2 linked regions of the Rattus norvegicus genome follow. Each later gene encodes a partner of the first gene's protein in a complex. Links are inferred from orthologs where the notes say so. Each region holds a gene or a part of one and is shown on either strand. Other genes may lie near its edges. The genes, in order: Drc1 and Drc12.

The links.
Region 2: Drc1 (region 1) and Drc12 share a complex: the UniProt entries of both Homo sapiens proteins name them as parts of the nexin-dynein regulatory complex. The link is inferred for Rattus norvegicus from reciprocal best matches to the Homo sapiens genes DRC1 and DRC12.

Annotation. Positions count from the first base shown.
Region 1 is NC_086024.1:31,769,200-31,773,005, reverse strand, and holds part of Drc1 (dynein regulatory complex protein 1), read left to right. Parts: intron 1-2,647; coding exon 2,648-2,735; intron 2,736-3,623; coding exon 3,624-3,736; intron 3,737-3,806. UniProt on the Homo sapiens protein: Component of the nexin-dynein regulatory complex (N-DRC) a key regulator of ciliary/flagellar motility which maintains the alignment and integrity of the distal axoneme and regulates microtubule sliding in motile axonemes.
Region 2 is NC_086026.1:53,473,083-53,477,688, forward strand, and holds the start of Drc12 (coiled-coil domain-containing protein 153), read left to right. Parts: upstream 1-1,576; 5' UTR 1,577-1,891; coding exon 1,892-1,961; intron 1,962-2,805; coding exon 2,806-2,871; intron 2,872-3,763; coding exon 3,764-3,883; intron 3,884-4,329; coding exon 4,330-4,422; intron 4,423-4,606. UniProt on the Homo sapiens protein: Component of the nexin-dynein regulatory complex (N-DRC), a key regulator of ciliary/flagellar motility which maintains the alignment and integrity of the distal axoneme and regulates microtubule sliding in motile axonemes.

The sequences.
Region 1 (3,806 bases):
ACACCACTTGACGGCCAGCTCGTCCTTGGACACATCCTGGCATTATCTGTTACCATTAGGTCCTCTTCTGAGGATGAGCGGATAAGGGATGGAGCTGCCACACACTTCTAAGAAAGAAGCAGAGAGGCTGGCTAGCTAACCGCCCCAGTGGGCCAAGGGCATGAATGGAGGCCTCTGCCTCCTGTCCCCAGCCGGGGCCTACTGCCATTTTCTTGGAAGAAGTCCATATGGCTTGAGCGAAGCCCTCTGCTTCCTAGGAGATAGATAACCCTGCTCTGAGGCTATGCCCGCTGTGGATGCTGGTCCTCTCTGCTGCCTGGCGTTGGCTCCTTGTTTTAAGGATGCTTATCCACGAGGCTTCTTCCCAAAAACCAGGGTCACTGCAGGCTTGGGTGACCTTTGAAGGTCTGCAACAGAACATTGTAAACATGGACAACAATCTGCAGGATTCAGGACTCTCCCTTAAGTGCCGAGCCATCCTCCAGGTCCTAAGTGCCTGTTTATTGCCATTTGTAAATGCTATGCAGTGACAAAGTAAAACAAACTAAGAAATCCTCAGAAACGGAATCCCTTTTCTTCCTTTTTAAAAAAGACTTATTTATTTCGTGCATGTGAGTACACTGTCGCTGTCTTCAGACATACCAGAAAAGGGCATCAGATCCCATTACAGATGGTTGTGAGCCACCATGTGGTTGCTGGGATTTGAACTCAGGACCTCTGGAAGAGCAGTCAGTGCTCTTAACCGCTGAGCCATCTCCCCAGCCCTGAATCCCTTTTCTTAGGCTATTCCTTTTGTGTTTGTTGCATTGTCAGCTGTGGCAGGCACAGCCCCACTCTGGCTCAGAGGCCGCCCAGAACAGTCTCCTTTTTTTCTTCCAAGGACCCCAACTCAGATAAAACCAAAGTCAGGAGAGAATTACAGAAGGAGCTGGTGTGAGTTGGAATTGGTATTTCAAAAGATCTGAGGGCTGGCGGGATGGCTCATCGGGTAAAGACACTTTTGATCGTGACCTCTGTCCCCGGTACCCAGGAAGTAGGAGAGGCATGACTCCTCCAAGCTGAGACTTCACATGCACACCGTATGTAGCATGTCTTCCTGTCAGTGGAGGAACAAAAAGTAATGTAATTATTTTGTCAGTGTTTTGGCTTCGTACGTGTATATACCCCTTGTGCATATCTGGAACCAGATTGGTTAGGTGTCGTGAGCTGTCATGCGGGTGCTGGGAATCTAACCCAGGTCCTCTGGAAGAGCAACGGGCACTCCTGACTACCGAGCTGCCTCTCCAGCTCTACAATGTAGTTTTAGAAAAGACGTATTATTTTAGAAGATTTTTAAGGGTTGGAAAGATGGCTCAATGGTTAAGAGCTTAAGGCCAGTCAGTCAGACTGGGCTCCACAGTGAGGCCCTGTTGCAAAAAGGAAGAAAACTTCACCTCCTTAAGATTGGGCTGCCGGGCATTTTCTTAGTGACTGATGGGGGAGGGTCCAGCCCATTGTGGGTGGTTCCACCCCTGGGCTGGTAGTTCTGTAAGAAAGCAGGCTGAGTAGGCCATGGAGCAAACAAGTGAGCAGCACCCCTCCAAGGCCTCTGAATAGCTCCTGCCTCCAGGTCTTGCCCTGGTTGAATCCCTGTCCTGACTTCCTTTGCCAATGAAGACTTAGAAGCTTAAACTGATTAAACCCTTTCTCCCCCTAGTTTGCTTTTTGGACATAGTGTTTCCTCACAGCAGTAGAAACCCTAAGACGTGATGCACCTGGATTCCCTGGGGTCTATGCTGAGGCGTCTGGAAGCTACCGGCCTGGCTGCCCATTGGGAAGGTCAATTGACAGACAGTGATGGTCCATCTGTTCTGACCCGAGGGTTTTGTGCTTTCATAGCTGGCAGCTCTCAAGCTGTAGCTTTTCCAGTTGATCATTATCGCAGCCCCAGTCAGTGAGGCAGGGCCTGCCAAAGATAAGGAAGTCCATGCTGCCCTGGGCTGGTTTTAGTGTCTGTGAAAGCCCATTTACCAAGCACACATGCTCCCTTCTAGAATCCAATATGAAGCCCAAGGGCAGGATTCAGAGGAAAGTAAGGCCGGAAATGTGGCAGATGGCATCAGCCGGTGTCCACACCTGGTTCCTTTTCCTGCTCCTGCAAAAAAGGAGAGAATTTACGTCAGCTCATAATTCTCAGCAGGGTGGGAGGTGAAGGGCCTTGTACAGAGGATCCCAGCCAGGAAATGTCTTCCACAGCGGGTGCTGGGTCTTCCCATCTCAGCCACACACACAGTCCAGATCCCTGTTCCAGGTAATTTTGCATTCTGTCAAACTGACGGCTCCAACCATCAGGGGACTTGATAGCTCCCAGTCCTTTTCACCTGACTAGATTTACTCAAAGATGGCTTTGTATTCTGAGGTTCTCCATTCTCCTTTATTTGCTTCTAGTGTGGGTTTTTGTTGTTGTTTGGTTCGTTGGTTTGGTTTTTGGTTTTTTGAGATTAGGTTTCTCTCTGTAATAGCCCTGGCTGTCCTGGAACTGGCTTTGTAGACCAGGCTGGCCTGGAACTCATAGAGATCCACCTGCCTCTGCCTCCCTGGTGTTGGGGTTAAAGGCGTTGTCTAAACACAGAGTACGGCCCTCATGACCGCATTGTTTCTGCCACAGGGAAGCTCTGGGAGAGTATTTGGATGGCAAGAAGGAGAGTGAGGAGGAGCAAAGCAAGAGCTACAAACAGAAAGAAGAGAGCCGACTGGTATGAGCCGACTGGTGGCCGCGGAGTCTCTTAGCCTGGTCTTCATAGTCAGGCAGGCAGGAAGTACACCTGTGTTTCGTTCTCTAAGTGGGGCTGAACTGGAGTCTATCTTGTTTTGGGGTTCCCTAGGAGTGAGCTTTCAGACTGTGGGCTCCTGCCAGAAAAGGCAGCGCATAAATATGGGGACCCAAGAGACAGGGGCAGGAGTGCTCAGCCTCAAGACTGGCCTAGGATACAGTATGAGTTGGCCCCAAAAACAAACAAATGAGAAATTGGGTGGGGGTGACTCAGCGGCCAAAGTGCTTGTGTCAGAAGCACAGGTACTGGAGTTCCGATCCCCAAACCCATGTAAATGCAAGGTGGGCAGGGTGGCAGAGATGGGGAGTCCAAGGCAAGCTGGCTTAGAATCCACTGTGTAAGGCTGGTCGATGGTACACACCTTTAGTCCTAGTACTGGGGAGGCAGAGGCAGGCAGATCTCTGTGAGTTCAAGGCCAGCCTGGTCTACAAAGGGAGTTCAGGATAGCCAGAGCTACACAGAGTAATCCTGTCCAAAACAAAACACTGTGAAGACTAGGCTGGCCTTAAAACCATAGATCCACTTGCCCCTGCCTCTGCCACCTGAGTTCTACTATTAAAGACATAAACTACCATGCCCAGCCTTAATTTTTTTATAATTACATTTTATTTATTTTGTGTGCCCCGGGTTGTGCATGCCACATTGCATGTGGCTGTCAGAGGACAATTAGTGGCAGTTGATTCCTACAGTGTAAGCTCCCGGGGTTGAACTAAAGTCTTCAGGCTTGGCAGCAAAGGACACTTACACAGTGAGCCATCGCACAGCCCAGAATGTTCTAGCTTCACAGATTGCCATCTCTTTGTTTTCCAGAAACTGACTAAACTCCTGCTCTGTGGGACTGAGTTGGTGACAAATATTCAGGTGGCTGCAGACATAAGAGAGATCCACAGGAGGGTTGAGGAAGAGGAGACAAAGCGGCAGCGGTAAGGGATTGGCTACATTCGTGTGCTGATGTGGCCACCCTTCAGCTCTCCAAGTCCCTGGAACGAAAAT
Region 2 (4,606 bases), on another chromosome or scaffold:
GTTAAAAGTGAGTACTGCTTGTTCAGAGGACTTGAGTTTGGTTCCCAGCACCACACTGACGGGTAGCTCACAGAAACCTGTAACTCCAACTCCAAGGGGCCCCAGTGCTCTCCTTGTAACCCTTTTTCTTTTTCTGGCACTTTGCTCACAAACCCACACACACACACACACACACACACACACACACACACATATATATATATATATATATCAACTAAAAATAAAAAAATAAAACTCTTCTACAATATCTAAAGTGCCACGGGGTTAAAATAAGCAGGCATTGACCTGCTTGCTCTGTACAGGTGAGATTGTATAGTCCCACATCTTGTGTTTGTTCCTGCAGATTTGCTTCTGGTAATATGAAATTGGCCAAAAATTTCAGGGACTAGAATAGACAGACGTGCCTAAAAAGGATCTGTAGGGTCCATAATCCACAGGGAGGAAGGCTTGTTTAAATTCTATGTATGCTGACATTATGGCGCCCAGCGACGGCACAGTTCCAGATGGAGCGCTCCCAGCTGGAGGGGAGGCAGTAGTAAGCTACCTGTCGTCCTCTCTGCCCACAATCAATTTTTAATTATATATAAGATACTAAAAAGCACCCGCTAAAGGGAATCTCCCCCAATATCGCCCAAGAAATTACTAAACTGCAAATAGGGGATGCAGAAGGTCAAGCAGGTCCACTAGAGGGAGCCCTAACCAACTTTATGCTGCAGGGTGCCTGGGGGCTGCAGATTAAACCTCATAAAGAAATAGGGGGAGGAGGCAAGATTGACTGGGAGAGAAAAAAGGTCCTGCAAACACACCACCGAAGTCAGGAGCTACAAAACGTATACACCAAGAAATTCAAGCTGAGGGGCTGGGGATTTAGCTCAGTGGTAGAGCGCTTACCTAGGAAGCGCAAGGCCCTGGGTTCGGTCCCCAGCTCCGAAAAAAAGAACCAAAAAAAAAAAAAAAAAAAAAAGAAATTCAAGCTGAGCAAAATTAAGTAGCTGAACTCATGGACTCTGCCTAATGTGTGCTCCTCTCTCTGGGTGGGTCAACATCCTGAAGTCCATGGCTCCACATCTTGTAAGTGGAAAACTTTCAACACCTGTGCCAGAAAGTGTTTCCCTCACATATCACAGTAGCCTTTTGAAGCATGAACCTTCGTTTTCAAAGTAAATAACATCACTGTATTCTCGAGAACTCCAGATATAAAGTAGCCATCATGGCTACTGTCCCTGCCTTTCTGCTATGTCTGTAAAACACTGTTCTCCAAGACTAAATTTCTAGATTCCTAGCCTAGAGAGTCTCAGGCAGTGTAGACATGAAAAATAGCCATTCAACTCCAAAGCTTTTCTTTAGGGCTGGGACATGGACGTGAGAAGAGAAGCTTCCCTTTGGTTTAGCTCACCACCTGCCTGTTTCCCAGTTGCCCGGACAACCTGCAGTCTCCAGAAACCCAACATCCCAGTTCTTGGTCCTGCCTCTTGAGGAAGTTTTACACCCTGGATTGGCTCCCAGGACCCGGGCTCCTCCCTAGGCTCAATCTGCTTGGATCTCTCTTTACTGTCCCCATGGCATTCCCCAGGGAGACACCACACAAGCAAGAGAGAGTCTTGCAGGTAGATAGGAGGGGGGAGAAGGCATACTTTGGGGAGAGAGAAGGGACCAGGTCCAGAAGTTTCTCAAGAGGCTAACTGCTGCACATAGAATTATTCTCCCTCACTGACTCCATCCCTCCCCAAGGGTCCCAGGAGACCAAGAAGCAAAGCTTCTAGAAAGTGTAAGATACACTGGAAGACTAGAATTCTGAAGCTCCAGAGACTCCCAGCTTGGTCTAAGAGTCAGGAAAGCATGTCTGTCTGCTGATCCACATAGAAGGTCTTCCCTTCGCCAGGACAGCAGGATGCCACCTAAAACCAAAGGAAAGGGGAGAAAAGCTGCCACACGGAAGAAGAAAAAGAATTCAAGTCCTGGTGAGTCACAGTGGGTAAAGGGCAGTGTCCCTGTGTGTCCTTGTCCACAGTCCACACAAAGGTCCTCAGAGGGAATCCAGCCCATCGGGCAACAAAATGGAGTGGGTTTCTTTTGGTTTTGTCTTTTGTTCTTTTGATACAGGGTCACGATGGAACCCAGGCAAGCCTCAAACATATCCTCCTAGTCTTCCTAGTGCTGGGATTGTCTGGTGCTCCCAGTGCCTGGCACTAGGCACTGCCACCACAGTTGGCTAAAGTGAAGCCTTCTTTTAAAAAAATATTTATGGGTTGGGGATTTAGCTCAGTGGTAGAGCGCTTGCCTAGGAAGCACAAGGCCCTGGGTTCGGTCCCCAGCTCCGAAAAAAAGAACCAAAAAAAAAATATTTATTTATTTTATGTATATGAGCACACTGTAGCTGACTTCAGACACACCGGAAGAGGGCATCGGATCTCATTTCAGATGGTTGTGAGCCACCATGTGGTTGCTGGGGATTGAACTCAGGACCTCTGGAAGAGCAGTCAGTGCTCTTAACCGCTGAGCCATCTCTCCAGCTCAAGTGAAGCTTTCTTGCCCTCCTCTTCAGAGCCTTGAGTCCAGGTTCCACCAGGCTGGGGAACCGGAGAATACTTCAATCCCCCTGGAGCCCCATCTAGCTCTTTGCCTTTGTCACAGTTTTCTTTTGAGCACCCACCAAGTACAAGGCAGTGAAGCAGTGAATTTGTCCGATTTTTGCCATTGAGTATCCCTCCCTCAGTGATTTTTCCTCCATCCTGCAAGAAGCATGGAAGACGGAGCAGGATCGAGATCAAGATAGCCTAAGACTTTGTGGTCTTGCCATGACAGGTGTGGAGGCTGAGGCCAAGCACAGGCTGGTGCTGCTAGAGAAGGAGCTGCTTCAGGACCACTTAGGTAAGAAGAGTGGAGCCTCAGGAGACAGCAGAGATGATGTCCTAATCAGGGTTATCCTCCTGCTGTGAGGAAACATCACGACCAAAGCAACTTGGGAAGGAGATGGTTTATCTGGCTTGTGCTTCCAAAGCAGTTTATTATTGAAGGAAGTCAGGCCAGGAACCCAAACAGGGCAGGAACCTGGAGGCAGGAGCTGATGCAGAGGCCATGGAGGGATGCTGCTCACTGGCTTGCTCCCCGTGGTTTGCTCAGCCTGCTTTCTTATAGAACCCGGGACCACCAGCCCAGGGGCAGCACCACCCATAGTGGGCTGGACCCTCCCCATCGATCACTCATTAAGACAATACCCCATAGGCTTGTCTACAGCCAGGTCTTAGAGAAGCATTCTCCTCCCTCCTCTCTGATGACTCTAGCTTGTGTCAAGTTGACACAGAACTATTCACGCAGCCCATGGCACATGGGGCATTTCTGGGTTCTTGGAGAACTGGCAGTTTAAACTATGTCCAGGGGGTGCTAAACCAAGCCAGCCATTCTCTGTTGGCAAAGATCGTGAAGAAAGGGTAGGCAGTGAAGGTGATGAAGAAGCTGTTCTTCTCCCCTGACTCTGGGAATGTAATCACAACCCCATTCGTGAGAGCTAAGTAGTCTACCATGAAGCTAACCTGCAGCTCAGGGAAGCAAGCCATTGTTTTTTAGTAACCAGAACAGGGAGTGACTATTGACTCTGTAGGAATAGAAACTTTATGGGTTTCAAAGGGGGATGGGGGGAGAGACACGGAATAAGAGGTTGACACCTGTCAAGTTCCCAGAGAGACACATAGTTCAAGGCTGTGGTGACTGAGTCCATGGCATCCTCAGCCAGACCTGAGCATGGCTCTGAGATTATTCACAGCTCTACAGAGGGAAGAGGCTTGCCGAGCCAAGGCTTCCGAAGACAGGCTGAAACAGAGGTTACAAGGGCTGGAAGCTGAACTGGAAAGAACCCAAAGTGAAGGGCGGGCTGTATATGCAGGTATGTTTGATCAGGTAGGCAGGAAATGGGCCTGGAGGAGGACAAGCAAGAGGGTCAGGGAATCCAAGGACGGGAAATGAAGAGGAATTCCAACTGCTATACTTCCGTGCGTAGGCAGTGTCCTGAGAATCAAAGATAGATCCCTGGTAGAAGGTGGATTCCCACATTCTAGAGTGTCTAATGCGCCGTGCTTAGTGTTTGCGTGATACAAAATATAGTCACAGCCCTTATCTTCTTCATCTTTGGGAGTAAGTAGGAGGAATTGCCAGAATCCCCCCTAAATATGGGGGAAAGGGTCTTGTTTCTTATCCCCCAAATTTTCAAGGTCTCCCGAGTTTCTTGGTTCTGTTCCTCCACCGAGACTCCACTGAGACATGTAACTTTGTTTCCTTTCTTCATGCCTCCATCCCTACCTTGGTTCCTGCTGCCTACGGCTCCTACCTCAGAGATGAGCCGCCAGCGTCAAGCCCTGCAAAAGGAGCTGGGGACCCGAAGCAAGCGGCTGGAGGAGGAAGTGAGAGGTCTAAGGGAGCGGCTAGGTAGGTCCCCATCCTAGCCCCTTCTTTCCCAGGCTCAGTAACAAGGCCCAGCATGGACTAGTGGACCTCGAAGGCTCTCCTCTAGACGTCTACAGTCTGTTGGCTGAATTTTAACTCGAGTCACCGTCGCCCTAACTCTCCTCTGAACAAAAAGTTCAGTGCCACAAATCTCCCTGTTAGGGCT